Linked DNA regions of Pelodiscus sinensis. The protein of the gene in region 3 binds, or shares a complex with, the protein of the main gene of each other region. Links are inferred from orthologs where the notes say so. Each region holds a gene or a part of one and is shown on either strand. Other genes may lie near its edges.

Evidence for each region.
Region 1: the proteins of UBE2I (region 3) and XPO1 are in contact, whole or in part, in a cryo-EM structure (PDB 9B62), measured with the Homo sapiens proteins. The link is inferred for Pelodiscus sinensis from reciprocal best matches to the Homo sapiens genes UBE2I and XPO1. Residues at the interface, in NP_003336.1 of Homo sapiens: Ile125, Gln126, Tyr134, Cys138, Gln139, Asn140, Val142; in NP_003391.1 of Homo sapiens: Gln207, Gln210, Glu243, Thr244, Lys245, Tyr279, Gln282.
Region 2: the proteins of UBE2I (region 3) and E3 SUMO-protein ligase RanBP2 are in contact, whole or in part, in a crystal structure (PDB 3UIO), measured with the Homo sapiens proteins. The link is inferred for Pelodiscus sinensis from reciprocal best matches to the Homo sapiens genes UBE2I and RANBP2. Residues at the interface, in NP_003336.1 of Homo sapiens: Ile4, Ser7, Arg8, Gln11, Glu12, Arg13, Lys14, Ala15, Arg17, Lys18, Phe22, Gly23, Val25, Val27, Lys30, Met36, Glu42, Cys43, Ala44, Pro46, Gly47, Lys48, Lys49, Trp53, Glu54, Gly55, Gly56, Leu57, Lys59, Pro69; in NP_006258.3 of Homo sapiens: Leu2651, Lys2652, Leu2653, Pro2654, Phe2657, Phe2658, Tyr2660, Tyr2666, Val2667, Glu2669, Glu2671, Glu2672, Asp2673, Asp2674, Glu2675, Asp2676, Phe2677, Ala2680, Val2681, Leu2684, Gly2686, Lys2687, Leu2688, Tyr2689, Leu2690.
Region 4: the proteins of UBE2I (region 3) and RWDD3 are in contact, whole or in part, in a crystal structure (PDB 4Y1L), measured with the Homo sapiens proteins. The link is inferred for Pelodiscus sinensis from reciprocal best matches to the Homo sapiens genes UBE2I and RWDD3. Residues at the interface, in NP_003336.1 of Homo sapiens: Leu6, Ser7, Ala10, Gln11, Arg13, Lys14, Arg17, Lys30, Gly34, Thr35, Met36, Leu38; in NP_056300.3 of Homo sapiens: Glu3, Pro4, Glu7, Ser10, Val11, Ala13, Ala14, Ile15, Cys17, Pro98, His101, Glu102, Leu105.

The regions. Positions count from the first base shown.
Region 1 is NC_134713.1:180,629,461-180,637,234, forward strand, and holds the start of XPO1 (exportin-1), read right to left. Parts: upstream 3,009-7,774; 5' UTR 2,875-3,008; intron 2,613-2,874; exon of another isoform or gene 1,838-2,612; intron 1-1,837. UniProt on the Homo sapiens protein: Mediates the nuclear export of cellular proteins (cargos) bearing a leucine-rich nuclear export signal (NES) and of RNAs.
Region 2 is NC_134711.1:235,356,313-235,363,655, reverse strand, and holds the start of E3 SUMO-protein ligase RanBP2, read right to left. Parts: upstream 3,013-7,343; 5' UTR 2,946-3,012; coding exon 2,874-2,945; intron 1-2,873. UniProt on the Homo sapiens protein: E3 SUMO-protein ligase which facilitates SUMO1 and SUMO2 conjugation by UBE2I. Involved in transport factor (Ran-GTP, karyopherin)-mediated protein import via the F-G repeat-containing domain which acts as a docking site for substrates.
Region 3 is NC_134726.1:41,417,426-41,425,096, reverse strand, and holds the start of UBE2I (SUMO-conjugating enzyme UBC9), read right to left. Parts: upstream 3,014-7,671; 5' UTR 2,903-3,013; intron 2,696-2,902; exon of another isoform or gene 2,512-2,695; intron 1-2,511. UniProt on the Homo sapiens protein: Accepts the ubiquitin-like proteins SUMO1, SUMO2, SUMO3, SUMO4 and SUMO1P1/SUMO5 from the UBLE1A-UBLE1B E1 complex and catalyzes their covalent attachment to other proteins with the help of an E3 ligase such as RANBP2, CBX4 and ZNF451.
Region 4 is NC_134719.1:36,236,191-36,243,172, reverse strand, and holds the start of RWDD3 (RWD domain-containing protein 3), read right to left. Parts: upstream 3,003-6,982; 5' UTR 2,927-3,002; coding exon 2,842-2,926; intron 1-2,841. UniProt on the Homo sapiens protein: Enhancer of SUMO conjugation.

The DNA.
Region 1 (7,774 bases), on a different chromosome or scaffold from region 3:
AAAAGTTATTAGCCGCATGAAAGCAGAAAGGAAACACTTCTAATAGAGTGCTTTGCCACTCCCAGCATTATCTCCAAAATGACTTACCTATTGGTGAATTGAAATATAAAAATGGCGGCTTTGTGGTCAATGCCAACTGCGATTAACTTGATTGCCTATTCCTAATAATGTGCCCAGATCAAGCCTATAGTATTGTATGTGATCTGCTAGACAGACACTCACCCCGATCCATACCTCAGCTTGCACCTAAAACTGCTTCCAACTGCTAGTGTATAAAACTGAAAAATGAAAACTAAATAGTATCACAATTAATAAATAAGGGAAGGATCTTACACTTGCCAAAACCCAGAAGAATGGAGACTTGTTTACAGAGCTACCTGAGGTTACAGTGGCCTTGTGCATGAAGTGCAAAAATGCTTATAACGAGCATACCGATTACCATTCCATAAACACATCAGAACAGCAATTTTAAAATGAGCTGTGCTCAGTGAATTAGAACATCCACACAACAAAGTAAAAAAAAAAAGCTTAAAAACATTCAAATTAAACTCTAGGTCAAATACAACTCAACAACTACTTCAGGCTGTGCGGGGGCAGCAGCAGCACGATTCATTTAAGTATAGAAGTAGCCACCCGAAACATACAGTTAACCCCGCCCAACTCAGCTAGTGAACAGCTCCACTTCTAACTACAATGGAAGTAAAAATCGGCATCCCACCACACTCTTTAAAGCTATCAGGATTATTTATATCAGGCAATTTAAAGTTTCCTTTTTTTCCTATTCCCACAGCCTAAGCACGATTAGACCTGCACAGCACATGCATTATACATCAATTTAGACATATAAAATTTAGTGGGCATTTATATTAAAGTTAATGCCGCAGTTCCACACACTAATGAAAGAGCTTGTTTCCTTTCCCCGTATGTGTGTGTATAGCAATAATAGGTAGCAGAACTTCAGCTACATTTCTTTCCTAAGCAGCAGACTTGTCACATTAAAGAATATATATCCAAATAAATGCAAATACATTCGAATTGTTATCAACAAGATATCTGATGTACACAAATACTGCATGTGAACATACAGATGCACACCTACTCTGTGTAAAGGCCTTAACTGACTTCCCTTGCAAACCAGTCAGAATACTGCAGTACACGGAACGTTATACTATTAAAAACACACAACTACGCGCCAATCAGTTTTTCTGACAGTCATTACTAAAGTATCTGTCGGACGGGAGGGAGAAAGAGATCCGGGTTTAGGAACAGAAGGAGGTTTGTTAGGTTTCTTTGCGGAGAGCAGTAGGGACACTGCAGCCCCTCCCTCCTCTCGGTCCCTGCGTTGTATACAGGGCCACCCCACGTGATCCAGGCGGACGTTTCAATACTGCTGCACAGACACACAAAAATATTTCTGGAAACTTCCACTCCTAATAATTTACAGATTATGCCCCTAATTTCTCGAGTTCCCAACACTGGCTCCAGCCCCACACTTCACATATAATCAAAAGCACAAAATGACCACCATCTACCCCACCCCCACAAGCCTTCACAGCAACCTCCCCACACCACGCTCCTTCTTTCCCCACACCCATAGCATCAGTGGTAGAATTTGCTCTCTAGTCAATTGCAAAGCCGACACGTCTGATGTTTGTAGCCCGAAGACCACGCGTCTCCCGCCCTAAGTCTTACACCCATTGTGCCTTGCCTACCCGCGACTTTCTGCCCTCCACACACCCACCCTCCTGCTGAGAATCCCTTTTAACCCTCCCACTTCCCCCCCCCAAATACATCCAACCCCGCACCCCAAGATTTTCACCCCATAAGAGTTACTTACCTAAATAGTTATTACAGCCTCGGCCTTTAAAAAATGCGGGCGGGGGGAGTGAAGTTTCCAACCACACCAAAAAAAAATTGAGGAGAAATCACACGCGCGCGCCCTCTCCCCGACTGAGCGTTTATTGGTGTCACCCTTCTCCCCCCCACCGCCTCCAAGCCAAGCGTGCACTGGGCTGCTTGTATGACTCGCTCAGCGCGGGCTGCTGCTAACCCCTGGCCAGGCTCACTCGCTCCCTGCTGCCCCTGGCTCCCCCTACAAGGACTCGGCCCCCAACTACCTGCTCCCGGGCCTAGGCCGCCCAGCGCAGGGGATGGAGCCCCTCCCTTCCCGGCGGCTTGGCTCTGGTTCCCCAGGCCCGGCTATCTGCTTTCCTGGGGCTCCTTGAGTCCCGAGCTTCCCAGCCCCGCTGCTTTGGTGGGCCCCGGGTCTGTCACTCCCCAGGCCCCGGGCTCCTCTGGCTGAGTCTCTGGTTGCCCGGGCCCCTGCTTCTCCCCTTGATCTGGCCGGGTCTCAGTACACCCCCATTCCCCCCCCGCTCGCACTAAACTTTGCCCCGGCGGGTGTGTCGGCGGCTCCCCCTGCGGGCTCCCCTGTGAGCAGGTCACACACACAGCGGCGGAGGCAGCAGCGGCGGCAGGGAGTGAGCGCAGCGTTTCTCCCCCTCCTAGTGCCACAGACTCGGAACCGGCTCAAACCGGTTCAGACTGGGAGATTCCATCTCGGTTTAGTTTTCAGCCCATGGCGCCGCGAAGCGTTTGGAAACCTCAGGCCTCCGCCCAGCTGCTGCTCCCATTGGCTCCGAACACAGCCGCTGCGCAGGCGGCCTCGCCTCTCATTGGACAAGAGGACCGTCCGTCTGTGCGCTGCCGAGAGGGGGGGGTGGGTAGGAGGCCCTGCCTCTTCTCTAGCAGCGATTTGCCCGCAGAGGGGGGAGGTGGCGGCGCGGCAGCCCTCGTTGACTGGCCGCGCTTAGCTGTCGCTCAAAAACGATGCCCGCCCACAACTCCCGACCCGCGGGCGCAGTTTTTACCCACCGATGATTGGCTGGGCGCTTGGAATGACGTAGGCGTTCGAGAGAAGCTTTTACGACGGTGCGTTGAGAAGGGCGCGCGGTTGCGTAGAGCGGGTAGTGAGGCCCCGAGAAAGCGCGGGGCGAGGGAGGGAGAAGGGGGGGGTCTTCTTGGCCTGCGACCGGCACGAGATTCCTAGGCGCGCGTAGGGCCCTGTCGCCGGATGGTGCCTATTAGGAGCAAGAGCTTCTGTCTTCGCGTTCGCTGGGAGCGAGCAGGGCTAGTGGGCGCGTCTGTGGCTGGCTCCAAGGGCAGCGGCGGAAGGGCCGGGCACCCCACTGTGTGTCTCAGAGGGAGCCCCTCCCCGCCCTTCTCCTCGCGTACGTCTACGGCCCCATCACCGTAGCGTGTCTCAGCCGTTTAGAGTCCGTTGACCCAGCAGCCCTTTGAGGCTGGGCGGTGCCGCCCCGTGCAGCGCAGGGCAGCGGCTACAGAGCCTCGCCCGCGGCCCACAGCGCAGGCAATCCATGGCCTCTTAGCGCTCGATTCTGAATGGGAGCGTTGGGACAGCCGTCTCCTGCTCTCTGGTGGCTGAAACTGGCCACGCGGGGAGTGCGACGCTCTTCAAGAAGCAGTTCGCTGACAAAGAGTCGGGAGGGAGGAGGCATTGAGGGGGAAACGCAGGCTAATTATAGAGTGACCATATGAGCCGCTGGGGCAGGGCAATCTTTTTTTTTTTTAATGCCCTGCCCCGACTTTTTCTGTAGATTTGTCCGTTTCCTCCTTTCCTGAGCGTCAGTGGACAAGCGCAAACTGGACAAAGGCACAGGTTTGCCAAAAATTCGGGCTGCGACCCCTAGCAGGACAGTGTTAGGTGGGAGGGAGAATGGGGTGGAGGAGCAAGTGGGGTTTGAATCCGGCCCCAAGTGGCTGAGAGTCTTGGGCTGGCTGAATGCACAGGGGATAGAGGAGGGGACTTGGGCTTGCCCCACATGCAGGTGGGGTGTGGGGGGTGGCCTGAAATCGGTTCCACACGCGCAAGGCATAGGGACTGAGGCCAATCCTGCACATTAGGGAAAGAGGCCTTGGGGCAGCTATGGGAAGGAACCTTGGCTCACACCTGTGACATGTAGGGATGTAAAATCCCATTTCATTGGCTAACCTGTTAAACTTTGTTTAACGTGTTAACTGATTAAAGGGGAGTGGGGCACTGCTCCAGCCTTGCTGGGCTGAAGTGGCCCTCCCTGCCTAGGCCTGGCCAGTTAAACTTTCATGTCCTTAATGCAGTGGCCATTTTCCCTTGGGGGGGGGGGGAGGGAATATGGTCACCTTATCTAATTAGGAACACTGAACCCCACATTCCTGATTTGCAGTAGCATATATGTGAATGTTTGTTTACAATTCATTTTAAGTAAGTATTTACATAAGATATACGGTTCCCAGAATCAATATGCCAGGTAGTAAAGGCTATTCAAATGCTGCTGAGGAAATACTGTAGGTAGGAGTTTGTGTTATGAAATATTATTAATTCTTAATGGGAGAAAGGAAGTTTGAATCTTTTAATGTGCTTTAAAAAGTATTTAATCTTCCTATAAAAGTATAAATTTTTACCACATGTATTCTAAAACAGTTTTATTTTTCAAGTGGTATTTGAATCACCATCACCATCACCACGATTTGAGCACCAAATAACTTCTTGTGCAAGCAACCTTAGCAACATAAAAGTGATGCCTTTCAGTTGTAACATACTTTGTCATTTTGGTGCACTTTATGAAAGGTAGAGCTATAGATGTGGATTTGATTCAGAGGAGTTGAAGATGCTGCTTAGAAAGTATATATCCAAATAAGAGTAAAAACTACACAAGTGTCTAAATACAAGTTGTATATATTTTCACAAGTAACTATTGATGATGGGATGGCTAACTTGAAACTCTGTAAAAGACATTTCACTGTTTGCCCTCATAAAATCAAGTTCCTTTAAGATGATTAAACTGATATCCCCAAATCACTAATTGCCTCTGAAAATGTAGGTCAATTAGTCTTTTAATGTACAAACAGCTGTGGCACATAATACTTCTGGTGACATGCATTAGGGAGGTGAAGGTTTAACTGGTTAACCCATAAGCCTCAACCTTAATGGATGAGATTTACCGCAGTTAAGGTAAGCTGGTGGGGGCTGGAGCAGCTCCAACCCCACAGAGAGCCCGCCGCAGGTAGAGACTCTGGCATCCTTGCTGGACCAGCCTCTGCCCTTGGTGAGCCTTGGTACCTTTGCAGACAGGAGCTGTTCCGATTAGGATGCTGGAGCAGTCACTGCCTGTGAGGTGCTCTGGCCTGCTGCAGTCGGGCTGCTCCAGCATCCCAGCCAGAGCAGTTCCATGGCAAGCTAGGTTGCCCTGCAGGCAGGGGCTCTTTTGACCAAGATGCCAAAGCGGCCCCTCCCTGTGGGGTACCATGGTCCACCGCAGGCAGTCTGCTGTGGTGGTGAAAGGGACTGCTAGAGCAGCTCCTGCTTTTGGTGGATGAAAGAAGGGGGGCAATATGTTTAACCAATTAGTCAATAAAATGAGAAGAACTCAACCAATGCTTATTGAAGTTCAGTACTTTCTATTCTGCTCTTGTTCTTTGTTTACTATGAAGCAAAATGTATGTTATACTCTTGCTAAATTCTTTAGAACTACTTAATCAAGATTCCTCACTTCACATGGAAAATACTTAAACATTAGTTCTATTAAAGGTGGCAGATGAAACATACATTGACACCTAAGACTATAACTGATATATGGTATCATGAGTAACTTAATTATCACATTATGAAAAACTTAAAAAACAACTAATAGTTTGGTAGCACTTTAAAGACTAACAAAACATGTAGATGGTATCATAAGCTTTCAAGGTGGGATAATTTTAAATACAAACACAAGATGACATTCCAAGGAAGAAAAATTATAAAAAGCAGCCTAAGAACATCAACAAAACCTGTTTTTACATGAAGTAACTGATTCCCTTTGTAAATACTGCACCCTGATGATTGTATCATTGAAGGTAACAGAGTAAAAGTTCTTTGAAGGGATTAGTGTGACACTTAACATCACTGCATAGAGAATTCTCTGGAGTTATGTACTACTGGCTAAAGTGTATCTGTAAGGAAACTTAATTTTGACTGCCAACTAGGGCTATTACTTACTGTTTAAAAAGTTAACTGGTTAAATGCTGTTTAACCAATTAATCCTCATGAGGCTCCCCCGCTCCTGGTGTGATGCGGTGGGCCCAACCAGACTGTAGCCAGCTCCACACTGCACCCAGTAAGCATTCTAGTAAAGCTCATGCTTACCCAGTAATTACCTTTATATCCCAACGTAGCTCTGTTTTCGTTCTTTCTAGAAAACATACTGAAAGTCTATTTAAAAAAAAAAAAAAACCACCTTTGTGACTTTTCCAGGTATAAAGGTCCATTAATTGTCTCCTGCTACGCAGGACTGTGACTTCTGGTAATGTGCAAGACCTACTGGATAGATTGTAGCAACAGGGTTCCCAAGCTGCAGTGGGATAATTAGGGATATGCATACAATCATTTTGGCATCAGCCCTTGTTACGGAACAGGTTATTTTTCCAGGGAAATGCAAGCACTGGTAGGTTGCTGGAGACACTTCAGTGATATCATTATTGGCTGGCCAGAAAAAGTGTATGATTTTTGCAACTTTAGGAACACATCTGTTCAGAAATCTGGAAGCAGGGATGTTCTTTCCCAGCCTCTGCATAGAAATGCCAGCAGTGACTGGGGTGATCCACAACTATCCCTTGGTCCCCTGGCTTATGAAACCTTGTGCTGGACACATCAACAGCTCCAAGAAAAGATCCACCTGCTCAGTGTAAGTGCAAAATGACAGATGCAGGTGAATGTTTTTATGGCAGATTGAAGGGACACTGGGACTGTTTACTCACAAGATTGGAGCTCAGTGAGAAAAATGTCCCGGGGTTATAGCTACCTGTTCTGAATAATATAGGTGGAAAAGTTGCCACTACAATGGAGAGCAGAGGTGGGTGTCTCACTATCTGAGGGCTAGTCTACACTAGAATCACTACAACAGTGCAGCTGAATTGAGGTAACAACTGCTATAGCATTGCTAGTTCAAATGCTAGTCTATGCCAGTGGAAGGGAGCTCCCTGTTAGCATAATTACTCCTCCTCCCCAATCCAGAGTAACTGTCAGCGGGAGAGCAATAGTGCTGTCCATTAGGTTGGTGTAATTTACTTGCTCAGAAGTAGCTTTTTCACACCTCTTGAGTGACTTAAGTTGTACCAGCACTATTGTGTACAATTCCTATGAACCATCAAATGTAAAGGCTTTAAAAGAGCTCAATGCAGAGCCATGAGTCTGAGGGAGGCCTTGAAAGAACACTTTAAAAATCAGCCACTCTGATGTGGTGTGGACTGTTCTCCACCTGGCCCTGATGTTATGGAGGCCATTAGGAACTGTAGGGTGCTTGATGTATGCTCATGACTATAACCATCTTAAGGCACCTATTAAATTTGTGATGCTTACTGTACATTTATAATTATTATATTGTGTCTGATTCTTTGAGTTCTGTTATTGTACATCGGGGTCAGCAGACTTTGGCACTTGGCCCTTCAGGGTAATCTGTTGGTTGACCAGGAGACATTTTGTTTACCATGACCGTTCGCAGGCATGGTTCCCTGCAGCTCCTGATGGCTGGAAAGGGAATGGTTAATCACCAGCCGAGGCAGACTATGCCTGTAGGGCTATGTCTACACTGGCATGATCTTGTGCAAAAACTCTTTAGCGCAAGAGTTCTTGCGTTAAAGTAGTTGTGCAAGAGAGCATCTACACTGGCATGTGCTTTTGCACAAGAGATGTGCTTTTGCGCAAGAGCATCCATGCCAATGTAAACGTTCTTTTGCG
Region 2 (7,343 bases), on a different chromosome or scaffold from region 3:
ATCCCAGGCTACACAGAGTACTGCTGCTTTGAAATGCAGTGTGCAGCCTGGGGAAACCCCAGCTATCACTTTGAAGTACCCCCTTTTTATTCCTCCCCCTTGCTGCCTTTTTCTGATAGAGGCAGTGGGGGGAGAGGGATTAATCAACTAGCCTGTTGATTACCCGATAAGTATTTGCTTGTCCACTAGTTCTTCACATCCCCAGCAAAGACTGATAAAATAAACCAAATGTTTATTGACACAGCTAAGTTTCAATTTGTATATTTTGCTATGAACTTAATTTTACTTGGCTCTAGCAAAAACAAAGTAACCATACAACCCTTTTTATCTTTAAGACACCATAGGAGAATGGTTCAGAACATAACAGCCAAAAATCAAATGGTGGGCCACAGTCACAGTGGAAAAAAAAAAAAAAAAATCTACAAAAGATGTCAATCTTTGTTTAAAAGGATATTTAATCCAAAATCTTAACCCTTTTTGCAATTTGGGACTTCAGTTTGTCCTTGGATTAACTGTGTCTTTGTTTGACGAAGCTCCTTGGAGCATAGACCAAACAACGTATGTGCTCAAATGATAAAGTATCTACATGGTGAGGAAACTATAGTAACTGCTCTATCAAGGAAGTCAGACATAGAAATAGATGTTTTAGATATTATGAAGATTTGGACTTTTACATGCAAATTTGGTCCAGCCATCAGCTTACTGACAAGCCTCTAGCAAGGGCACCAACTGTAAAGGGCCAAGTACTTTTCCTTCCAAGAACATATTTAACTATGCTAACAAAACCAATCAAAGATCCTATCATATTTCTAGTAGAAGTCCAAGTAACTGAAATACTGACATGAGCTCTGGAATATTTACATTTTAACACCGCCTCTTCATAAAACAATTGTATTATGTATCACTTCCTATGTTCACAACTAGAAAATACCCGTGTCAGCTACAGCAATTGCCCATGAGAGTGCACGACAACAGACAACTAAAAATATGTTGAGTCTCTTCAATGCAATTTAAGAACTGGTAACAAGAAAAAAAAAAAAAAAAAAAAGGTACATTATCAGCCAGAACTCTGCTAGCCACCAACGAACAACCTGAGGAAAGCTGGAGAACCACTGAATTAACAAGTCATCACCCATCATCATGGTTTGGCTTCGCGAACGAAGATCTAGGAAGGAAATCCATGTAACTCCTCAGCTTTCTCAAATCATCCAGAAAAGAGGAAGTTTAGCCTCCCAGTGTTACAGCACAAAGATATTTTTGAACAAAAGCATGCATTTTTTATCCTTTAATAAGACATATTTAGTTTTTAATCTTTCATAAATATTATATTATTGAACAAATGTGTCTGGAAATTTGTAAAGGTCTGGTGAGTCACATTTCTTTACAATTTCAAAAGGAGAGTTAATTGTTGTCCCTTCTTAATTTTACAATACAGGACAAAAAGAATTTTATGTAACTATTTTCCATTACTTATTTTGTGAACTTGACTGTACAGTTAGATGCATTACCCATGTAAAAATCAGCATCCCCTGTTTGTGTGGGTCTTCCACACAGTGAACAGGATAAAACATTTTAAAAAGTTTTGTTCATGGTAACAAAAAAAACCTCATAGGTGTAACTGTTAAATTTGGTAGATTTGTTGATTGGACAGCTGACAATCTAGAGAGTGTCTTCTGAGATTTGCAGAGAAATAGTTGGTAACATAAAACTAGTAATAATTTTCATTGCTGAACTGCATTCCAGGATACCTTCTTAGCTAACTCCATGTAAACAGTTGTGGTACTTGCCATGCATACCCATCAACAAGCAAGGAAGTAACTCAGCCACTTTTTATGAAAACATGATTGAAGTTTCATGAAAAAAAGAATGAGTCCACAAATTACTATCCCATAAATTAGTAACTCTGAAAACTAGATATCATGCTCTTTTTAAAAAAAGCAATACCAATGTTTATCACACACATCAATTATGCACCATTTCTTTGTTGACTTAAATCCTTTGCTTAGCAGAAGTATCAGGCCAAACTTTCCTGCACTATCCCACTGCTGTTCCTCAACTCATCATGACCATGGGGGAAGGTGTAAAGGAGGGATGGCTTGCCTGGACTTGGCCCCCAGGATCAGGACTCCCCCCCCCCCAGCATTAGGGAGCCCAGACGGACACTCCAGCCACCCCCCAACCTTCCTGCTGGCCCACAGCACATAAAACCTACTAGCCTGGGCTCCACTAGCTACGGTGTGGGAGGGGAATGCAGGGAGTGTCTTTCTCCTTCTCAACTGGGGGGAGGAGGTAGGGTTTCACATCAGTGATGATTGGGGTTTTTTCCCTTCACTTGCGCATGGCCCCTGACTGATTTTCCTGTGGGTCAGCAGCCCCGGACCCAAAAAAGGTTCCCCACCTCTGAAGGCTGAAAGAAACGCCCCCAGCCAACGACAGCTCAAGTTCCTTCCCGTTAGTACAAGACTCAGGAACCCCGGCTGCTACAAGCGCCTCCCAGCCTTGGCTCCAGCCCCGCCCCCAGGCAAACCTCCGGCGCAGGACAGCTCTGGCCGCGGATCCCTCCGCCCCCCGGCCAGGTCAGGGCCCGCCCGGGTTAGCAGCCGGCCCCGCCCACGCGGAACGAGGCCAGCCCGGCTGCCGGGGCAGGGACGTTGAACGCCTGCGGGCCCGTGACTCGCCTCCCCGGAGCGGGCGGGAAGCTGCTCTGCGGGGCCCCGCGGGGAAGGGGCCAGGACACGCGGCCGCTCCGGCCGAGACCAGCCCCCGCTCGCCAACGGGCACCAGCACGCGCCCCCCGCGCTCTGGGCGAACAAACCGCCGCGCCCGCGGCCCCGCAGGCGGGCGGAGACTGGGGAGCGGGCGGCCCCACTCACCTCTCTGGGGGAGGGGGCGGCGGCCTGCACGGAGGCGATGTACCGCTCCACCTCGGCCTTGCTGCGCCTCATGGCCGCGGCGCGCGCCGACTAAGCGAAACCGAAACGCCGCCTCGAGCCCCGCCACCCCGGCTCGCGCCGCGCCGGGCAGACGGGAGACTGAGCTTGGCTGGTGGGGGGGGGTGGGGAGGAAAGTCTAGGTACGTTCGCGCGCCTCCTCAAGGTGCGTAACGCGGCGGTGCGTGTGCGTCGTCCTCCCTTGCGGAAGCGGAAATGACGTATGTCGGCTGAGCTGCCCTCCCCAACTCGGCAGTCTGATTCAGTCCCTTTTTCCGCCTGGGGTCGGGGCTTCCCGGCGCGTTCCTTGCTCCGTCGCAGCCCCTGGGCCGCGAGCCAATCACAACTAGCGGAGGGCGGGCCGGCTGCGCGCGCACGGAAGGACAACCTGGCACCTCAGGTTGCGGGGCAGGTCCGCGCGGGGCGCCCGTGGCCGCTGAGGGCAGGACGCGGGGCGGGAACGGGGCTCGCTGCCGCAAGGCGGGTGCGGGCGGGGAAACGTTGAGCATTGAGGACAGTCGGACTGTGCAGGGGGGGCGTGGCGGCTCCATGGGAGGTTTGTAAAACCAGGTGGACAGACGCCCGGGCAGGGAGGCTGTAGGGCGGGGGTCGTGCACATAACACCCCTCTTCCCCGCCCAGCGCTGCGCCTTTCTGTCACCGCCCTACCTTCGCCCCCATTACACTCAATACATGAACTCAGAGGTGAGGGCTCCCAAACACTGCTGCCAGCCTCTCCTCTACCCTCCCTCCTGGCCAGACACCCTGCCCCAAGTCCCCTCCTGCATCCTCCCTTCTGGCCGGAGACCCTACCCCCAGCCTGTCTGTGCACCCTACTTCCCACCCTCTCCCCCTTCTGCACCCTAAGAGTACAGGGTAGCGCTCATGAACTTTGTGTCTCAAAAGCATGTTTGTGCAGATCAGCTTTCCTAATCATTTTTTATTTCTGTGATGGCATGTGTTGTATTACACTGATCATCTTCAGTTAATACTCTTCTGATATTAGAATTTATATCTAGTAGGATTAAGCCTCAGAACAAGCCTACTGATGGACTACCTGGAACCATTATTATGTGTTTATCATGAATTGAAGCTACTTCAGAAACTGTGTCACAATGTTTCATTCTGTATAGCACCCTGATCAGCAAAACTGTGCTTTTAATTCTTCCTCAACTACCGAGTATGTCCAGGGTAGGAATGTAAAATCCTGCTTAATCAGTTTAACCAGTTAAATGTTAACAGGATCCTGAGGGCAGGAGTAAATAAAACAAGATGGAACTTAAAGGAAAGGGGCATTCTTCAGCAGCCAGTGACTGACAGGTCTGGTGCTGTCACTAAGCAACCCACATGCAACCCATTGTAATTGATCGGTAGATCTTAGCAGGTTAAAAACTGACTAGAACTAAATTGCAAGTAAGAGTAAGTTATGTACATATAACAGTTACACAGCACTGCTGCCACACAAGTGTCCTTAGACTTTTTTCCTGATAGAACTCATTAAGTGTATGGCTTTATCATATTTTTCAATGTTCATTGCTTTGCATTTGTCCTCAGTGAAATTCACATGGGATCGTGCTAGCAATTCACTAGCTTTATTTGGGCTCTCTGAAGTTCCTTGGTCTCTTCTAGTGTTTGTTATAACAAGTAAGGAAGATAAACTTATTCTGCATAATTGTAATGTATTAAACACGACCTATGTACTAATGTGAAAATGTGTGATGAGTGGTTGTCTGTGTTGTATGGGGGTAGAGGGAGTGTGACAGAGGTAAATTTCAAAACTGGGTTATTTTAAATGTTTTTGTCTAGGAAAAGTTAGCAGGTATTTTATTCTGAACATTTCCTTTACAATTCAGTTATCCACTGAATTGTATCGACACATTTAAAGCCTAAATTAAAGTAGGATCTGTGTTGAGCGAAAAGTACAGTAAGGGAAATACACCCTAAACTATGGAGTCACTTCTGACAGTTCCATAATACAACAGAAACTGGACTGTATTCTGTGTAAAGAGAACAAATACAGGGTCCCTCACCACCAAACATCCCTTTAAGAACAAGTCAAACAGGTTATAATTGTGTAGTCTTTATTGATCACAGTGGGAAAGCTTAGCTTTTAAACCAAGAGATATATTTTCTTAAAAGATATGAAATGAAACTGTAGTTTGTAAAGCATAACCTATACAATCTATGTAGGCTGCTATATTAAATGAAAAAAAATGTTTTATTAATTTGCCATACTACTGCACCTTTATAAAGAAAGGGGGAAAAGCCCTAGATTCTTTATGACTATTAATGAATAATATAAGACTTAGAAGCATGTTATAGTGAATTCTCATCAATTTGGACCCAGTCCTTCAAGGCTGACATTTTAGGTGCTCAATTGTAGGTGCTCAGCACCTTCTAGCATAGACCATTTATACACACACTCACTGATGTATGACGTGAGAGTGAATTATTGTAGGTACTATTAAAAAATTAATTCAGCCAAGAAACAACAATGTATTTTTTAAAATTCAAGTGTTCTCAATATTTAAAGAAAACAAACGTCATACATCCTATAGAAGTGAAGTAGTTAAAGCATATTATGTTTTATAATACCTGGTATACATTTTCTGCATAAGAATATAAAATAAAAATAAAACTGTATATATATTTAATGCATCCTTTTTTGAATACTGTTGTGAAAGGTACAGAAAAATAAGGCACAAAATGTAAGTAAAATACAAATACACTCATATTACTGGATTATTTTAAATGGAACATAACAAAATTCCGGTAGTTCTGAATATGGATATTTCTTGCAACAGGAATATATTTTCTATATTTCCATTACAACTTTAAAATCTAATATACAAAAATTAATTATGTAATATTTATCTATTAAAGGCACTACACTTTTGCAGTGGTTGCACTTAGAAGTTTGACTTCAGAGGCATTTAAAATAAGGCTTCATAATGATTACTTGGATCTGAATCTAAAAATGAATAGTTCCATAAAAAGTGATGCTACATCATTTAAAGATTACATGCTGAATTCTATGCACAAGTATTACCCTTAACTTCAATGGCACTCTTTGTGTACAGAAAGCAAGGTTTATTTGTGAAGTCATTGCAGGAAATGCACAAGCAGATCTTAGGTCTCCACAGAATCTCACTGAAATATGTGGCTATAAAGCAGATTCAACTGCAGGACCAGAGCCGTAAAAGAGTTTACAATGAATTTGTATTTGCAGTTTAATATGCAAGTACAATATACAGATCAACAGATATGTATAAATGTATATATCCAATACAGAACTGAAGATATATTTTGCTTTTGTTAGTTACAAGTTATATAAAATGTAGAGAGGGTTTTTAGATGCATGTTTTGAGAGAGAAAAGAGGAAAGTACTTTAGTATGAAGCTAGTCATGCATCAAGGAAACTAATTTTCTTTGCTTGTGTATCGCAGATTGCAGCCTCAAAGAAAAATAAAATGAAAGTCAAGTAATATCTGTAATATTTTCTAATTTTTTTCCAGGAACAGGAGATTAGAAGGAGGCTTTACTTCCTCCCTAAAGTTTCAGCTAGTTTCTTCAATCTTTTCTTCAACTCCAGAGGAAACTTCTCATAGCATTTCTTGCAGACAGGCTTCATATCAAATTCAACAAATTTGTTCCTAAAAATGATAAAGGAAATATATTTAGTGGAAGAGATTTCAAAGAGTATGTGTAGCATACCATATTGACGTGGTATAAGCAGCAAAATGATGCTTTTTCAGTATGTTTGCTGAATATTAAAAAAAGCTCTAAGCTGATAAATGATATAGCAAATCAATAAATGTAGATGTATCCCTGAATCTATTTTTTAATGATACATACAACTATATTTGTTAGCAGTATCCAACTTTGTAATTGGGTGCCATCATGCAGGAAGTAAAACAAATTCAGAAGACTTCTGATTTTTTTTAAAACCGTGACAAGTTAACAGTACAGATGAATTTGCTTAAGCTGAGATTTGGGTTTTGAAAAACAGAGGACCAGTCACTGCACATAAAGTTAATATTTATGTGAAAGAGACATGAAAGTAAAAGGCTGAAGTGAAGGAAACAACCGTACAGGAAAACAAAAAGAGAACTTCTGACTACTGAGGAAAATTTTGTTTTATGCAATACTGTATATTGTGCAACCACTGAATTGTAAACCTAACATGAAAGATACAGACTACATTTTCAGATGTTTATGGAGACCCAGTGTTATGGACCTAGAAATAGATGTCCAATGTGGGTATAAGCAAGGGCAGCTGTGCAAAAGATGCTATGAATTTCCATACTACGTTCAAGCAGTGGATATATAGTTAAGTATCCTGTCTAACAGCTGCAAGTATGTGCTGTTTCTGTGGCAAGAGGAAGAATCCCTATAGAAGGCAATATGGATAAGT
Region 3 (7,671 bases):
TGGGGTAAAGCATTCATAAAATATATGCCTAAGAGAATGTTTCCATGTTGACTCTTTAAAATTCCAATAGCAGATTTAAATATTCCTCAACATTGTTCACAGCTTACGTACCCTAACCACCACCCCACGTGACGAGGAATCCTATGGCACCTTACAGACTAAGAGATTTATTGGAGCATAAGCTTTTGTGGGCAAAGACCCACTTCTTCAGATGCATCTCACATCATGGAAAACAGCTAAAGGAAAACAGCTAAATGTTTTGATACTTAATTGATTTTCAATGTTTACTTCATATATTGCTTTCCTCTTGGACAAGCATTTGTAAACAAAGAAAGTAAAATTGAAGATTTAAAATAAATTCAGTTTAAGTAATTTAAACTATAGGCAATAAAGGTTACAAATTTATAATGCAATTAAAATTGACTATTTCATTTTCATCTCTGCCTCTTTATTCTTCTGAAAATCTGAGTTACGAAAGAATGTAAAATTAACTGTAAAACACATTGAAATCCTCAGACAGAAAGTGCCAAAAAAGTATAAGGTATTATTTGCATCATAGGAAATTGTCGCAAGCAAATAGAGATCTAATTTTCCTTATTCTCTGGCATCTTCTCATTTTGATCTTAGCAACTTCCCTATGAAATACTCGAAGTTCAGAGTGCAAAAGTTTAAAAAAAAAAAATGAATAGGAAACATGCCATTTTCTACCTCAGGTTATTTAAAAATCTATTAAATCAAATGCGTGTTTGTGGCAGGCCTTTGGCAGCTACTATGATTTCTGGTGACTAACTGCTACATGGAATACCCCATGTTTCAATTACCTTAAAGATAAAAAAACAAAGTATTTAAAGCTTGCCCTCTCTTTTACACCCACTGACTGCAATTATGACAGAGCTACAGGACTATCCAAGAGCCACTTATTAACGCAGATCCCCCCCCCCTTATGACTGTGCAGTAGGAGAACAAGGCAGGCGACTGTCTAACCTCCAGTGAATGTCCCTCCATGAAAGGACCTACAAGCATTTATCACTCAGATTGCATCACTGTTGGTGTTCGACACAGAAGATTAACAGATTGAGCATTCTGATATACACTAAGGCACCAAGAGTCCCTCCAGCATCTCCTAATCTGACCTCCTTCCTGCTTTTTCACTCAACACTCCTAAAAATAAATCTAAGGGGTGTCACTCATTTCTCCTCTGCTTCATCTGCTTTCCCGAGTAATCTGTTCCATGTGTGTTTTCTTTACACTAGCAGTTTTACCTAAAATAACTGATTTTCCAGTTACAGTTACTAGCTTTTGAGTTTCTCACAATTCCATCTCACACTTTGCAAGTCTGGAGTCTTCTCTTTTCCCATGGGAAATAAATTCTGCTGAGTCTGATTTTTCTCTAAGCATGGTAAGGTTACTAGTGAAAGCAACTGAACTGTCTGTCATGAAGACTGCATAGGCCTTCAAAGGCCACTTAAAAACTTAAGAAAGGTCAGCCTACACATTCCATTCAGTTCTTTGCCACAGAGCACCAATCACTGCAATTATTTTTTGTTATGCTGATATTTGTCCACTAGGAATGGAATTGAGATATCCAAACATGTTTCAAGTAAGATATATAAAACAACACCCACAGGTAAGACCTGTCACTTACTACTTTGGTTGAATATAAACCCTAGGTCTGAAAGATGAATTGCTCAACATAGCCCATTACCCATTTCCCTGGCTACTCAGCTTATCTGGTGCCAATAGCTTGTTTGTCTCCCTGTGAGGCAATGTATTCAAAGCAGCATCTTTCCTGTGGCACAGTGATTAGACTTGCATACGATACTCTAAATGAGGGTTCATAGGAGCAGTTACAGGCAAAACAAAAGGGTGATCATCTTAGTTACCTTTAACAATTCTTACTTAGCCCACAGCACAATAGTAGTATTAAAGTGCTTAACACAGCAAGCCTTATACAACTACACATCCCTTTTAAGAAGCTAAGGATTCCGTCTGTGCTAAAACACATGGATGAATAATTTGTCCAAAGAGTGAAAAGCTTCTGCTTCTAGGAAGAGCGGACCCAGCCGAAAGAGGGGACCCAGCCAGGACAAGGCTGGGCGATAAAAGCAGGAGAGCAGAAAAGGGGGTGTCTGGCGTTGCCTACATAAAGCCGCCACGAGGGTTACCCGGTGACGAGCCTGCCACAAGCCGAGTGCCTCGCAGCCCAGCCTTCGGGCCGCGCTGACAACCGCCGCCAGCGCCGCGCTCCCTGCCCCGGGGCCCAACAGGGCCAGTCGCCGAGGCTGCCCACAGGCCGCGGGGAGCAGCCGCCGGGCACCACGGGGCACAGGCCGAGGCGGGGCCAGGTACGCGGCGCTCGGGCCCGGCTGCAGCCCCGCTCCCGCCTCCCCGCGCCGGACGAGGCCGCCGGGCCTAGCGAAGGCGGCTCGGGAGCAAGGGCCGGAGCCCGAACGCCCCCAGGGCCCGCTCCCGGGCCCGCCGCCCTCCGGCCCGCGCCCGGCCAGGCCTCACCGTGAGCGGCCGCAGCACCCGCGCGTGTCCCGGATTGAGGCGGCAGCGAGTGACCCGGATGTTCCCGACTCGGCTCCCCCCTTTGTCTCTGGTCCGGACTTTCCCTCCCTCCTTGGTCGGTGCGGAGCGCAGCAGCGTGGTATGTCCCTCAGTCCGACCCGTCTGTCCCTCTGCGCCGGCGCAGTATGACCCTCAAGCCGACCCGTCGAGGACAAAGGGCCTTTAGGTGGCCTGTACGGAGCCCGAGCGGCCCATGAGGGAGGCTTGCTGTGGCCTCCCTCCCGTCTCCCTCCATCCCTTTGTGCCTCGCCTCCCAGCTGCTCCTGCCGGGCCCACTCCCGCTCCCACGAGCCCCTGGGTGGATCGTTCCTACAGGCACTGAGTTAGTTACCTGCGCCTTTCTGCGGCAAAGACTGCGGCGGACTGGAAAGCGCGCGGGGCCTTCGGCAGCACCACGAAGGGGCGGGGCTCGGCGGGATAGGTCCCCTTGCCTGGCTCCCACGAGTGTCGTGTGCAGAGGCCGGTGGCGCCTGGATTCCTGTGACGTCACAAGGGGTGTTTGCTCTGCCCAGCGACTGGCGGGGGGTCCCCAGAACGTCTCGTGCGGGTCCACCCCGCCGCGTGTTCCCCACGTGGGCCGACCGGTGTGGGCTGGGTCTATTCCATAGTCCACGCTCACAGTCACAATCATTCCCCCTCCCCCCTCTGCTCACAATCACTCCCCCTGCTCACAATCATTCCCCCTCCCCCCTCTGCTCACAATCACTCCCCCTGCTCACAATCATTCCCCCTCCTCCCTCTGCTCACAATCACTCCCCCTGCTCACAATCACTCCCCCTCCCCCCTCTGCTCACAATCACTCCCCCTGCTGATAATCACCCCTGCTTACAGTCATTTCCCCTACTTACTCCCCTCTGCTCACAATCACTCCCTGCTTACACGCCCACCTCTGCTCACAATCACTCATGTTCACATACCCACCTCCCCCTCTGCTCACAATCAGTCCCCACTCACACGCCCATCTCTGCTCACAATCACTCATGTTCACACACCCACCTCCCCCTCTGCTCACAATCAGTCCCCGCTCACACGCCCACCTCCCCCCTCTGAGCTGTCTACACTGGCCCTTTTGTGCAAAAGCTTTGCGCAAAAGGAACTTTTGCCTAAACGGGAGCAGAATAGTATTTCCGCAAGAAGCACTGATTTCTTACAGTAGGAAGTCAGTGCTTTTGTGGAAATTCAAGCGGCCAGTGTAGACAGCTGGCAAGTTTTTCCGGAAAAGCAGCTGATTTTTCAGAAAAACTGGCCAGTCTAGACACAGCCCTCTAGAGATGGAGACTCCACTACTTCCCTAAATAACCCATTCCAGTGCTTCACTACAAAAGAGTGGCTGTTTCATGAGTGGGAGACTAGCAGGTTGAATGAAGAGGTGAGGGAGGGGAGATAGACAGCTAAAGGGCTTGACATGATGTCAATACTGAAGCTGAAGTAAGAAAGGATTAGTCTGTTGAAAAACGGAAAGGAAAGTGGATGGGAAAGAGCTAGGTGAGGGCAGGATGTCGATGGGAGGCATCACATGCAGTGTTGCTCGTTAAGGATAAAGAGGGAAAAGCAGGAGGAGAGAAGATGGAATCAGCAGGAATAGAAGACTAGAAGTGCAGTACTGTACCTACATCAGAGTCTGATTGGGAGAAGGGGAGTGAGTGAGCAAGAGAGGATTCCTTAGGGCAGTTGCAGAGGCTTCAGGTCTGAGTAGCAGATGATGATGCTGTGAGGGCAGAGACAGTGTCCAGCATGACCCTGAAGCATAGAAAAGTCAGTCGGGAGCAGGGGACACAGTACTGGGGAGGGGTGCTAGTGGGTTCTGGGGCAGGGAACAGGGTGCCACGTTCGTCTGGCCTGGGGCCAAAACACACTCCCCCCCCCTTTCCCCATGATGCAGGGAAACCCTGCGCACGCCTGCCCCGGGGACAACTCACACCTCCTGCGCCGGTGCAGGGAAATCACCGTGCTCCTCTTCCGGACCCAGGGCCCCTCCCACAGCGCGCCTGGCAAACCAGCCAGCGCACTTCCGGAAGTGGCACTAAGCTGCGGGACTTCCATCCACCCGCGGGAAGCCGGCACTACCTCCATTTTCGCTGGAGGTGAGTACTGGGGCTTCTCGGGGGGTGGGTGGAAAATGGGGGTGAGGCCCGGTTGCCTCACGATTGACTGGTTCAGGCCTTGCGATTGACCAATTGATGTGATCAACCTGTTGGTGACCACGGCATTAGGAGGAGCATTTCCAGCATATCTAGAGAAGTGATTATTCCCCTTTATTTGGCATTGGTGAGGCCACATCCGGAGTATTGTGTCCAGTTCTGCCCCCCCTTCCAACCTCACTATAGAAAGGATGTGGATGTACCAGAGAGGATCCTGTGGAGGCGGCTGGAACACATGGTCTACAAGGAGAGGCTGAGGGATTTGGGCTTATTTAGTCTGCAGAAGAGAAGAGTGAAGGGGGATTTGATAGTAATAGTGGGGTAGCCATGTTAGTCTGATCTTGCTAAAACAAAAGGAAAAACTATGTAGCACTTTAAAGACTAACAAGATGGTTTAATAGGTGATGAGCTTTCATGGGCCAGACCCACTTCCTCACATCATATTCTGGAAGAGAATTGGCATTGATAGCATAAGAACATAAGAACGGCCGTACTGGGTCAGACCAAAGGTCCATCTAGCCCAGTATCCTGCCTGCCAACAGTGGCCAGCACCAGGTACCCCAGAGAGGGTGGACCGAAGACAATGATCAAGCGATTTGTCTCCTGCCATCCCTCTCCAGCCTCTGACAGACAGAGGCCAAGGACACCATTTTATCCCCTGACTAATAGCCTTTTATGGACCTAACCTCCATGAAATTATCTAGCTTCTCTTTAAACTCTATTATAGTCCTAGCCTTCACAGTCTCCTCTGGCAAGGAGTTCCACAGGTTGACTACACGCTGTGTGAAGAAGAACTTTCTTTTATTAGTTTTAAACCTGCTCCCCATTAATTTCATTTGGTGTCCTCTAGTTCTTCTATTTAGGGAACTAATAAATAACTTTTCTTTATCGGCCCTCTCCACACCACTCATGATTTTACAGACTTCTATCATATCCCCCCTCAGTCTCCTCTTTTCTAAACTGAAAAGTCCCAGTCTCTTTAACCTCTCCTCATATGGGACCCGTTCCAAACCCCTAATCATTTTAGTTGCCCTTTTCTGAACCCTTTCCAAGGCCAAAATATCTTTTTTGAGGTGAGGAGACCACATCTGTACACAGTATTTAAGATGTGGGCGTACCATAGTTTTAGACAGGGGCAGTAAGACATTCTGGGTCTTATTTTCTATCCCTTTCCTAATAATTCCTAGCATCCTATTTGCCTTTTTGACCGCCGCTGCACACTGCGGGGAAGTTCTCAGATAACTGTCCACGATAACTCCAAGGTCTCTTTCCTGATTTGTCGTAGCCAAATTAGTTCCCATCATACTGTACATATAGTTGGGGTTATTTTTCCGGATGTGCATTACTTTACACTTATCCACATTAAATTTCATTTGCCGTTTTGTTGCCCAATCACTCAGTTTGGTGAGATCTTTTTGGAGTCCCTCACAGTCTGCTTCTGTCTTGACTATCCTAAACAGTTTGGTATCATCTGCAAACTTTACTACCCCAGGGTATGTCTACACTACAAAGTTAGTTCGAACTAACGGACATTAGTTCGAACTAACTTTAATAGGCGCTACACTAGCGCTCCGCTAGTTCGAATTTGAATCGAACTAGCGGAGCGCTTAGTTCGAACTAGGTAAACCTCATTTTACGAGGATTAAGCCTAGTTCGAACTAGCTAGTTCGAATTAAGGGGTGTGTAGCCCCTTAATTCGAACTAGTGGGAGGCTAGCCCTCCCCAGGTTTCCCTGGTGGCCACTCTGGCCAACACCAGGGAAACTCTATGCCCCCCTCCCGGCCCCGGACCCCTTAAAGGGGCACGGGCTGGCTACGGTGCCCGTGCCAGGTGCAAGCCTGCCAGCACCCAGCCAGCAGACCCTGTACCTGGCAAAACGCTAATTCGAACTAGTTTTTAGTTCTAGACGCGTTAGTTCGAATTAGCTTAGTTCGAATTAACTAATTCGAACTAAGTTAGTTCGAACTAGCGCTGTAGTGTAGACGTACCTTCACTGCTTTACTACCTCACCCTTTCTCCAGATCATTTATGAATAAGTTGAAAAGGATTGGTCCCAGGACTGACCCTTGGGGTACACCACTAGTTACCCCTCTCCAATCTGAAAATTTACCATTTATTCCTACCCTTTGTTTCCTGTCTTTTAACCAGTTCTCAATCCAAGAAAGGACCTTCCCTCTTATCCCATGGCCATGTAATTTACACAAGAGCCTTTGGGGAGGGACCTTGTCAAAGGCTTTCTGAAAATCCAAGTATACTATATCTACTGGATCCCCCTTGTCCGCATGTTTGTTAACCCCTTCAAAGAACTCTAACAGATTAGTAAAACAGGATTTCCCTTTACAGAAACCATGTTGACTTTTGTCCAACAAATTATGTTCTTCTACATGCTTCACAATTTTATTCTTTACTATTGTTTCTACTAATTTGCCCGGTACTGAAGTTAGACTTACCGGTCTGTAATTGCCAGGATCGCCTCTAGAGCCCTTTTTAAATATTGGTGTCACGTTGGCTACCTTCCAGTCATCAGGTACAGAAGCCGATTTAAAGGATAGGTTACAAACCACAGATTATAGCTCAGCAATTTCCCATTTGAGTTCTTTTAGAACCCTTGGATGAATGCCATCCGGTCCCGGAGATTTGTTAACATTAAGGCTACGTCTACACTGGCCCCTTTTCCGGAAGGGGCATGTAAATTTCACCAGTCGTCGTAGGGAAATCCGCGGGGGATTTAAATATCCCCCGCGGCATTTAAATAAAAATGTCCGCCGCTTTTTTCCGGCTTTTAAAAAAGCCGGAAAAGAGCGTCTACACTGGCCCCGATCCTCCGGAAAAGGGCACTTTTTCCGGAGGATCGGGGCCAGTGTAGACGCTCTTTTCCGGCTTTTTTAAAAGCCGGAAAAAAGCGGCGGACATTTTTATTTAAATGCCGCGGGGGATATTTAAATCCCCCGCGGATTTC
Region 4 (6,982 bases), on a different chromosome or scaffold from region 3:
TCTGTTGGTGGAAGAAATAAGCATTCAAGCTACATAGAGCTCTTCTTATAGAAACTTGTACCAAGATAACAAAGGCATGAATTAAAAATGATTAAGTTATTTCAGTCCCAGTATGCTTGTAGATACACCCTAAGACTTGATTATGGTCTGGGGATAAAGCTATAGTCTTTTTTAAACTGGGTCCTGCAACTCTGATTGTAACTTTAGTGTAGGCTCCTTTAGATGACTCCAACAGCATAAAGGGATCTTCACTTGGGTAAAAATGGCCCCCTAAGAATATCCTATACGAAGGGGCCACCTTGGCTGGTTTAACAGAACTAATGTAATGGTTCTACATTCACTCTGCTCCCAGCCTCCAACATATTAGGGGGCCTGACCCGAATGCCTCACACCATGACTATCCTCTGCTTCCCCAGAACCCATAGGCTGCTCTGGGAAGCAGAGCATAAATGACAGAAGTCCTGAGAATGGTATAAATTACACTAAACAGGCCTCATACAGTTCAAGAATACAGGGAACACAACAAGGATGTGAATGACTAGTCAACTATCTGATAAGCTAGTCAACTAGTTGATTCCCCACCCACACACACTTGCTGCCTCTATCAGAAAGAGGCAGCAAGGGGGGGCAAAGAGCAATGGTGCTTCAAAACGGTTGCACCATGTGGAGCCTAGGGTCAGCTGGGGACTCCCCCGCTTACCCAGGGCTCCATGCAGTGCTGCAGCTTTGAAATACCGCAGGGAGCATGGGCGAGTGGAGGACTACTTGAGACCCCCGCTGGCCCTGTGCTCCTCACTGCGCTTTTGCCTTTGAAGTGTAGCAACAACCACAGAGCTGTTACTACACTTCAAAGGCAAAGGTACCCTTATCGACTAATCAAATGGTTGATGTAAATTGCATCAACTATTTGATTAGCCAATTAATCAAAATTTTGCATCTCTAGAACACAAACATGCAGAAAGCCACATTTGATTCCTGCACCAAGCGCCGGACAGGAGTGACTGAGATTCAGGCTGCAGGTGTGTACTGACAACTACTGCCTACTAAACATTATACAACCCTATGTGGCCTCCAAGCCTTTCTACTTATCGGAAGCATAACTGCTTATCAGGTTAGTTACATTTTTCTACTGGCAGGTAACAACTTCCGATTGTGTCATTCACCTAGTATTATTTGCTGAATGCAGTGTCAATGCCGGGAACTGGAGGAGATAGCAAATTGTGACAGGAGAGTGATACCCATTAGGATTTACCCAGTGCCAAAGATGCAAACTGTGAAGATACATGGTGGGAAACTGACAGGTAAGAGACATCTTTGCTACCACTAATAAAAGGTAAGAGATTAAAGGAGTTACTTACTATCACAATTTTTGTGATGGGAAAGCATGCAAAAATAGATAATGCTGTCAGAATTTGCTATAGGATGCAAATTCTGATTGTGAAGCATTTTTATAATGCTACTGACCAGAGAGGCTAAGAGTTTCTCCAGCAAATTGGAAGCATATTTAATGTGCATTACCACTGTTTAGTAGTCTAAGAGCAAACTTCAGTAAAGTACCACAGAGGAGTTTAAGTTCTTCAAGAGGCGGTGGGCAGCAGAAAAGAATGCTTAGCTCAGCTCACAGGCAGATGCTGGGAGGCAGGCAAGATGCAAAGGTAGTGCTTACTGTGAGCATACATTATTGAAAAAGTTTTTAATTTTCATAGATATTAGAGACCTCTTAGATCATCCAGTCTATTGCCCTGACAGCACAGATCTGCAGAGAAAATTCATTCAATATTAAACGAATACTACATCCAATAAAAAAAACCAACAATGTTGGGAAAATCATTAAGGGATATAGAACAGCATCCTGTTGAGAAGAGATTAAAAAGATTGGGATTGTTCAGCCTAGAAGACACAGCAAAAAGAGGGTATGATAGAGGTTTATAAACTCATGAATGGTATGGATTAAGTAAATAAGGAAGTGTTTCATGCTGTCACAAAGCAGGAATCAGGGATCATTCAATTAAATTAATAGGCAGCAGGTTTAAATCATTCAGAAGTATGTCTTTACACAACACAGTCAAGCTGTGGAATTAATTTCTAAGGGATAAAGGCAAAACATAACTGAGTTTTTAAAAAGAAATAAAAAAGTTACCAGAGGACAGATGTGCTACTAGTCTATTTGTTGGTTTTTTAAGTTTTTCCAACAATGGCAGTTAGCCAACACTGCCAAGAACACAACCCAAGCTCTGGGTGTCCTGACCCTCTACTTGCCAGAAGATGGATCACTTTGCAACTATTCCGTTCTTTTTTTTTTTTTTCAGTTCATTGAAGCACCTGGTGCCAGCCACAGGCAGACGTCAGGATACTGGGGTAGAGGGCCCACAGGTCCGACCCAGTATGGCTGACTTTGTAAACCACAGAACAGCAGGGAGTTAAAAGGAACAAGGTGCCAATTTTCCAGGGAAGAAAACGCCCAAGTTGTCCGGCAATGCATCCACAAGACCAGCATGGGACCCGTGAATTCAGGGCACTTGACAAGTCTCCCTAGGCCCGGGGGGGAAAGGAGGCGGCGCCGCGCCAAATACGGACTAGATCAGACACTCGCCGCCTTTGCCCCATGCACCTTCACTGACCCGCTCACCACCCGCCGCGGCAACTCATGGAAACCTCCGCAGACCGGTCCAAGCGCTCACGCGCCAGGTGTGCCGGGGGGGGGGCGGACTCAGCCGAGGAAGCGCTGCCTAGTGGGCAGGGGCTACTGGCTGCTCGGCCTTGGGCCACGGGGCATCTCTGCAGGGAGGCGATCGGAGATAAGCGCGGGCGGGCGGCGGCTACAGCCACCGCGACAGTCACCTGAGGCCGCCAGCACCGCGCACTCGTCCGGCTGGCAGTAAATAGCCCTCAGGGCCGAGAGCTCTTCCAGGGCCTCCGCCGACATGGCGCGCGCCGGCCGCTACCGAGCGCTGCGCCGCCGGGCACAGGCCGCTTCGCTTCCCCTTCCGCCCTGGCTCCCAGCGCCCGCGGGGGGCTTCCAAGGCAACAGGCTCCCTGGCCGCCCTGCCCCCTCCTTGGCCCTTCTTTGGGACAAGCCCTGTGGGTTAACCCCACTCTGGGCACCGTGAGCCACAGGCCTTGGCCGGCTCCCCTCGCAGCTGAGCTGCTCCGTGAATCCGGCAGCCAGCAGCACCCAACAGTTGCCTGTAGCAGCGCCACTCCCGGAGTCAGGGTGCGTTTACACTGCATGGCTTATCTCGAAATAAGCTACACACAGGCTGGCTGCGTCTAGATTGGCATGATTTTCTGGAAATGCTTTTAACGGAAAAGTTTTCCGTTAAAAGCATTTTCGGAAAAGAACATCTAGATTGGCACGGACGCTTTTCTGCAAAAGCACTTTTTGCAGAAAAGCATCCGTGCCAATCTAGACGCACTGTTCCGCAAAAAAGCCCCGATCGCCATTTTTGCGATCGGGGCTTTTTTTGCGGAAAACAAATCTGAGCTGGCCACACAGGCCCTTTTACGTAAAAGCTTTGCGCAAAAGGGAATTTTGCCTGAATGGGAGCAGAATAGTATTTCAGCAAGAAGCACTGATTTCTTACAGTAGAAAGTCAGTGCTTTTGTGGAAATTCAAGCAGCTAGTGTAGACAGCTGGCAAGTTTTTCAGGAAAAGCAGCTGTTTTTCCAGAAAAACTGGTCAGTCTAGACACAGTAGCCTTTTTTCAAAAAAACTTCACTTGCATCTAGACTACAGCCGCGTTCTTTCAAAATTAAATCCTCATTTCACGAGGAAGAATGCCTTTTTTTGAAAGTGTTCTTTCGAAAAAAGGCGTTCTTGAATGCAAACAGGGCTTTTTCGATACAGAGCATCCAGACTGCCTGGGTGCTCTCTTTTGAAAAAGCGGCTCACTTTTTCGAAAGAGGCTTGCAGTCTAGATGTAGCCATATTGAGCTATGTCAATTCTGTAACTTATTTCAAAATAAGGAGCATCTATACAGCACTTATTTCAAAATAGAGCACTCTTCCTCCCACTTTCTTTACTCCTTGTAGAGCTGGCAGATACTTTCACAAAAAAAATCCCTAACATGGCAGGAAAAATATTGATTGAGCAAAGCAAAAAACGGGGAACCAAAGTTGCTAAGCAAAAAAGAAAAAAAAAAGAAAGGTCACTGAGCCTTTAAAAATCCCCTTGCTCCTCACTCCCCTGACCCCCACCAGATGCAGCAGAGGAAGAATGTCCCTGCCGGCCTTCCATAAAAAAAACCCCAAACAACAGAAAATACCGGACATATTTTCTGCTGTTGTTTTTTACTGGAGAGGGGCCACAAATACTGGTCTGTACAGGCAAAAACTGGACACCTAGCAACCCTAATTCCTTGTATAGGGAGGGTTACAAGAATCGGAGTAAGAAGGCCTCCAGCTTAACAGTATTTTGACACTATTTCAAAATAACTGCCTGCAATGTAGATGCAAACTACGTTATTTTGGAATAGTGCTAGTTATTTCGAAACAGTGTTCCAGTGTAAATGTACCATTAGTATCTAATGTTGGGTGAGTTGATTTTCTCCTTCAGCTGTTCCACATCCTTGGTGTTGGCCTTGGACAAACTCCTTTCAACCTTAACAGAAGCGGTGTCAGACAGTTAACAGAGCTAGCAAGACAGGCCTTGAAATGGATCACTTGGTACTAAGCACTAATAAAAATAGTCAAAGCAGGGGATTATAGTGTTATCCAGTTTCACAACCTATAGTTAAATTTCCAGTAGGGGGAATAATACAGGAGGCCCCCACCTTGTGACGCGATTGGTTCCAGGGCAAGCATTGCAAGTCGGGGGCGTCATAACTTGAACCTGTCCGAGACAGAACATCAACATTGGCTGCCCGTCGCAGGAGAGCCATAGCCTGTCATACATCTAAGGCTGGTATAGGGGGCTCTGTCTGTGAGGCGGAGCGCTTCCCATATAAGGGCATGTAAATTACTGATCTTCCCCTGCTTGCTCCACCCACTGCAGTGAAAGATCAGCCAATGGGCTGACTTGTGGTCAGGCCTGCTCACTCCACCCACTGCGGCAAAAACCAACCTATGGGGTGATAAGTCCATAGGCAATAAAACAGGCAGGCAAACCCCCTCTGACTGGGGATTGCATCGTGTCAACGCCTGGCCTGATCACCCAGTTGCCTTGCACCCCCCGCTCTTGAGTTTGTTTGAGCGTACTTCGAGTTGGTCGACCTGAGTGGAGACAGTTTGGGAGCATGTGGCTGGTACTCGTGTTCCTGCTGTCTTCAGTATCGGTATAACCCCTCTCCCCCACAATTATTCCTATCCCAATTGATTTTTGAGTTACCCCCGTTGCCTGTCTAGTAATAGTAGTTCAAGAGTTATTGTGTTAGTTCTTTTAATAGTGGTTGTTAAGGTCTTTAACTGTTCTTTGTGTAATATAGTGTAAATAGTTAGACTTATGAACAACACCAGTGTGAATTCGACTGTTTCTAACCCCTGGGCAGTTATTGAGAATTATTATGATTTAAAAAAGCCTCAGGGAATTGTTTTATATTGTTTGATGATTTGTTTGTTTTTAATTCTGATGATTGTCTGGCGACCGCGCATGTGACTAAGTTTACAGTCATTAGGCGCCAGAGTCCTCATCAAAATAAAATCAGTTTTTATTTTTTCAAACCCCCAGTCGTGGTCTCATTCTTTCCGGCATCCCTTCGAACCTCATGTATTGCGGGGACTGACAGAACCCACATTTACGATAGGTGCCATGTGCTGTCGTAAATGCAGGCCGAGAACGTAAGTTGGGGGGTTTCGGCCCCATCCACGCTTACAAAAATGGTTATAAGTGCGAGGGGAGCAGGGGGTCAGAACTTGGGCAGTCACAAGTCAGGGGCCTCCTGTACTGCAGGGCCCCTGGCACTTTTGCCTCATGGTACGTCTAGACTGCGGGGGTTTTTCCAGAGGTATCCTGAAAATACTCTGACGCTTCCAGAGAACATGTTTGCTCTTCCGCTTTTTTTTGCGGAAGAGCAGATGCGCTTTTTCAGAAGCCCTGTCTTCCTCATTCTACAAGGAAGAAGAGATCTTCTGAAAGAGGGGAGTTTTCTGAAATTTGGCCCAATTTTCAGAAATTTTCGGAAAAGTCACTTCTGAAAAAACAAAGCGGAAAAAGGTGTAGTATAGACATACCCTAAGAGAGCAAGTACATCCGGAATCCAAAACTGCTCTAACATCCGATGTGAAGCAGTCAACTAGTGTCATTGAATGCTTTTCTAATTGCCCCCACTATATAGGCCATACGCAGGAATTTCGGGGTGGGGTGGGGTAGGGTGTAAATGTGGACCACAAGGGTGTGAATGCACACACACACACCCTATGGTCCCCCAAGTAAGCGGGAAAATCAGCCTCAGCCTTCCGCTGCAGGCCAGAGCACAGGGAAGGGAGGCACGCTGCTCCTGCCTTTTCCTGGCCAGCCAGAGCCTGCTTATTTGGAGAACCATGGGAGAGTGCTTTCTTTGCACCCCTCTGCATACGGGCCTGCTAAATTTAGTGCTGCTGAATTATCTGAGCAGAGACCTTCTCTTTTCATAGAATTATCTCCTTATTTAAAATGTTGCCTTTAAATCAATATAGTGAAAGCATCAACAAAATACTAAGACCATTAATTCAAAATATTACTGGTTGTATCACATTGGCACCTAGTGAACCAAACCATCATTCTGTACTATAGATAGTAAAAGTCAGTACCTATCCAGAACTTTCAATCTAAACCAGTATTTCTTAAACTGTGTTCTACGGCGCACTGGTGTGCCACGGTGAACAACTGAATTCAAAATGGCCACCCTTAAAGGATGTTTTTAAGATCAAGGAACACCAAAGAATATTTTTTTTAATGAGGAACTCCAAGGCCCTCAATAACTCCCCTCCCCCCCCAACTCTTTTTCCTCCCGATTTTTTTGTTTGTTTGTTTGCTCAACAAAAAAGATCCTTGGTGTTTAGAAA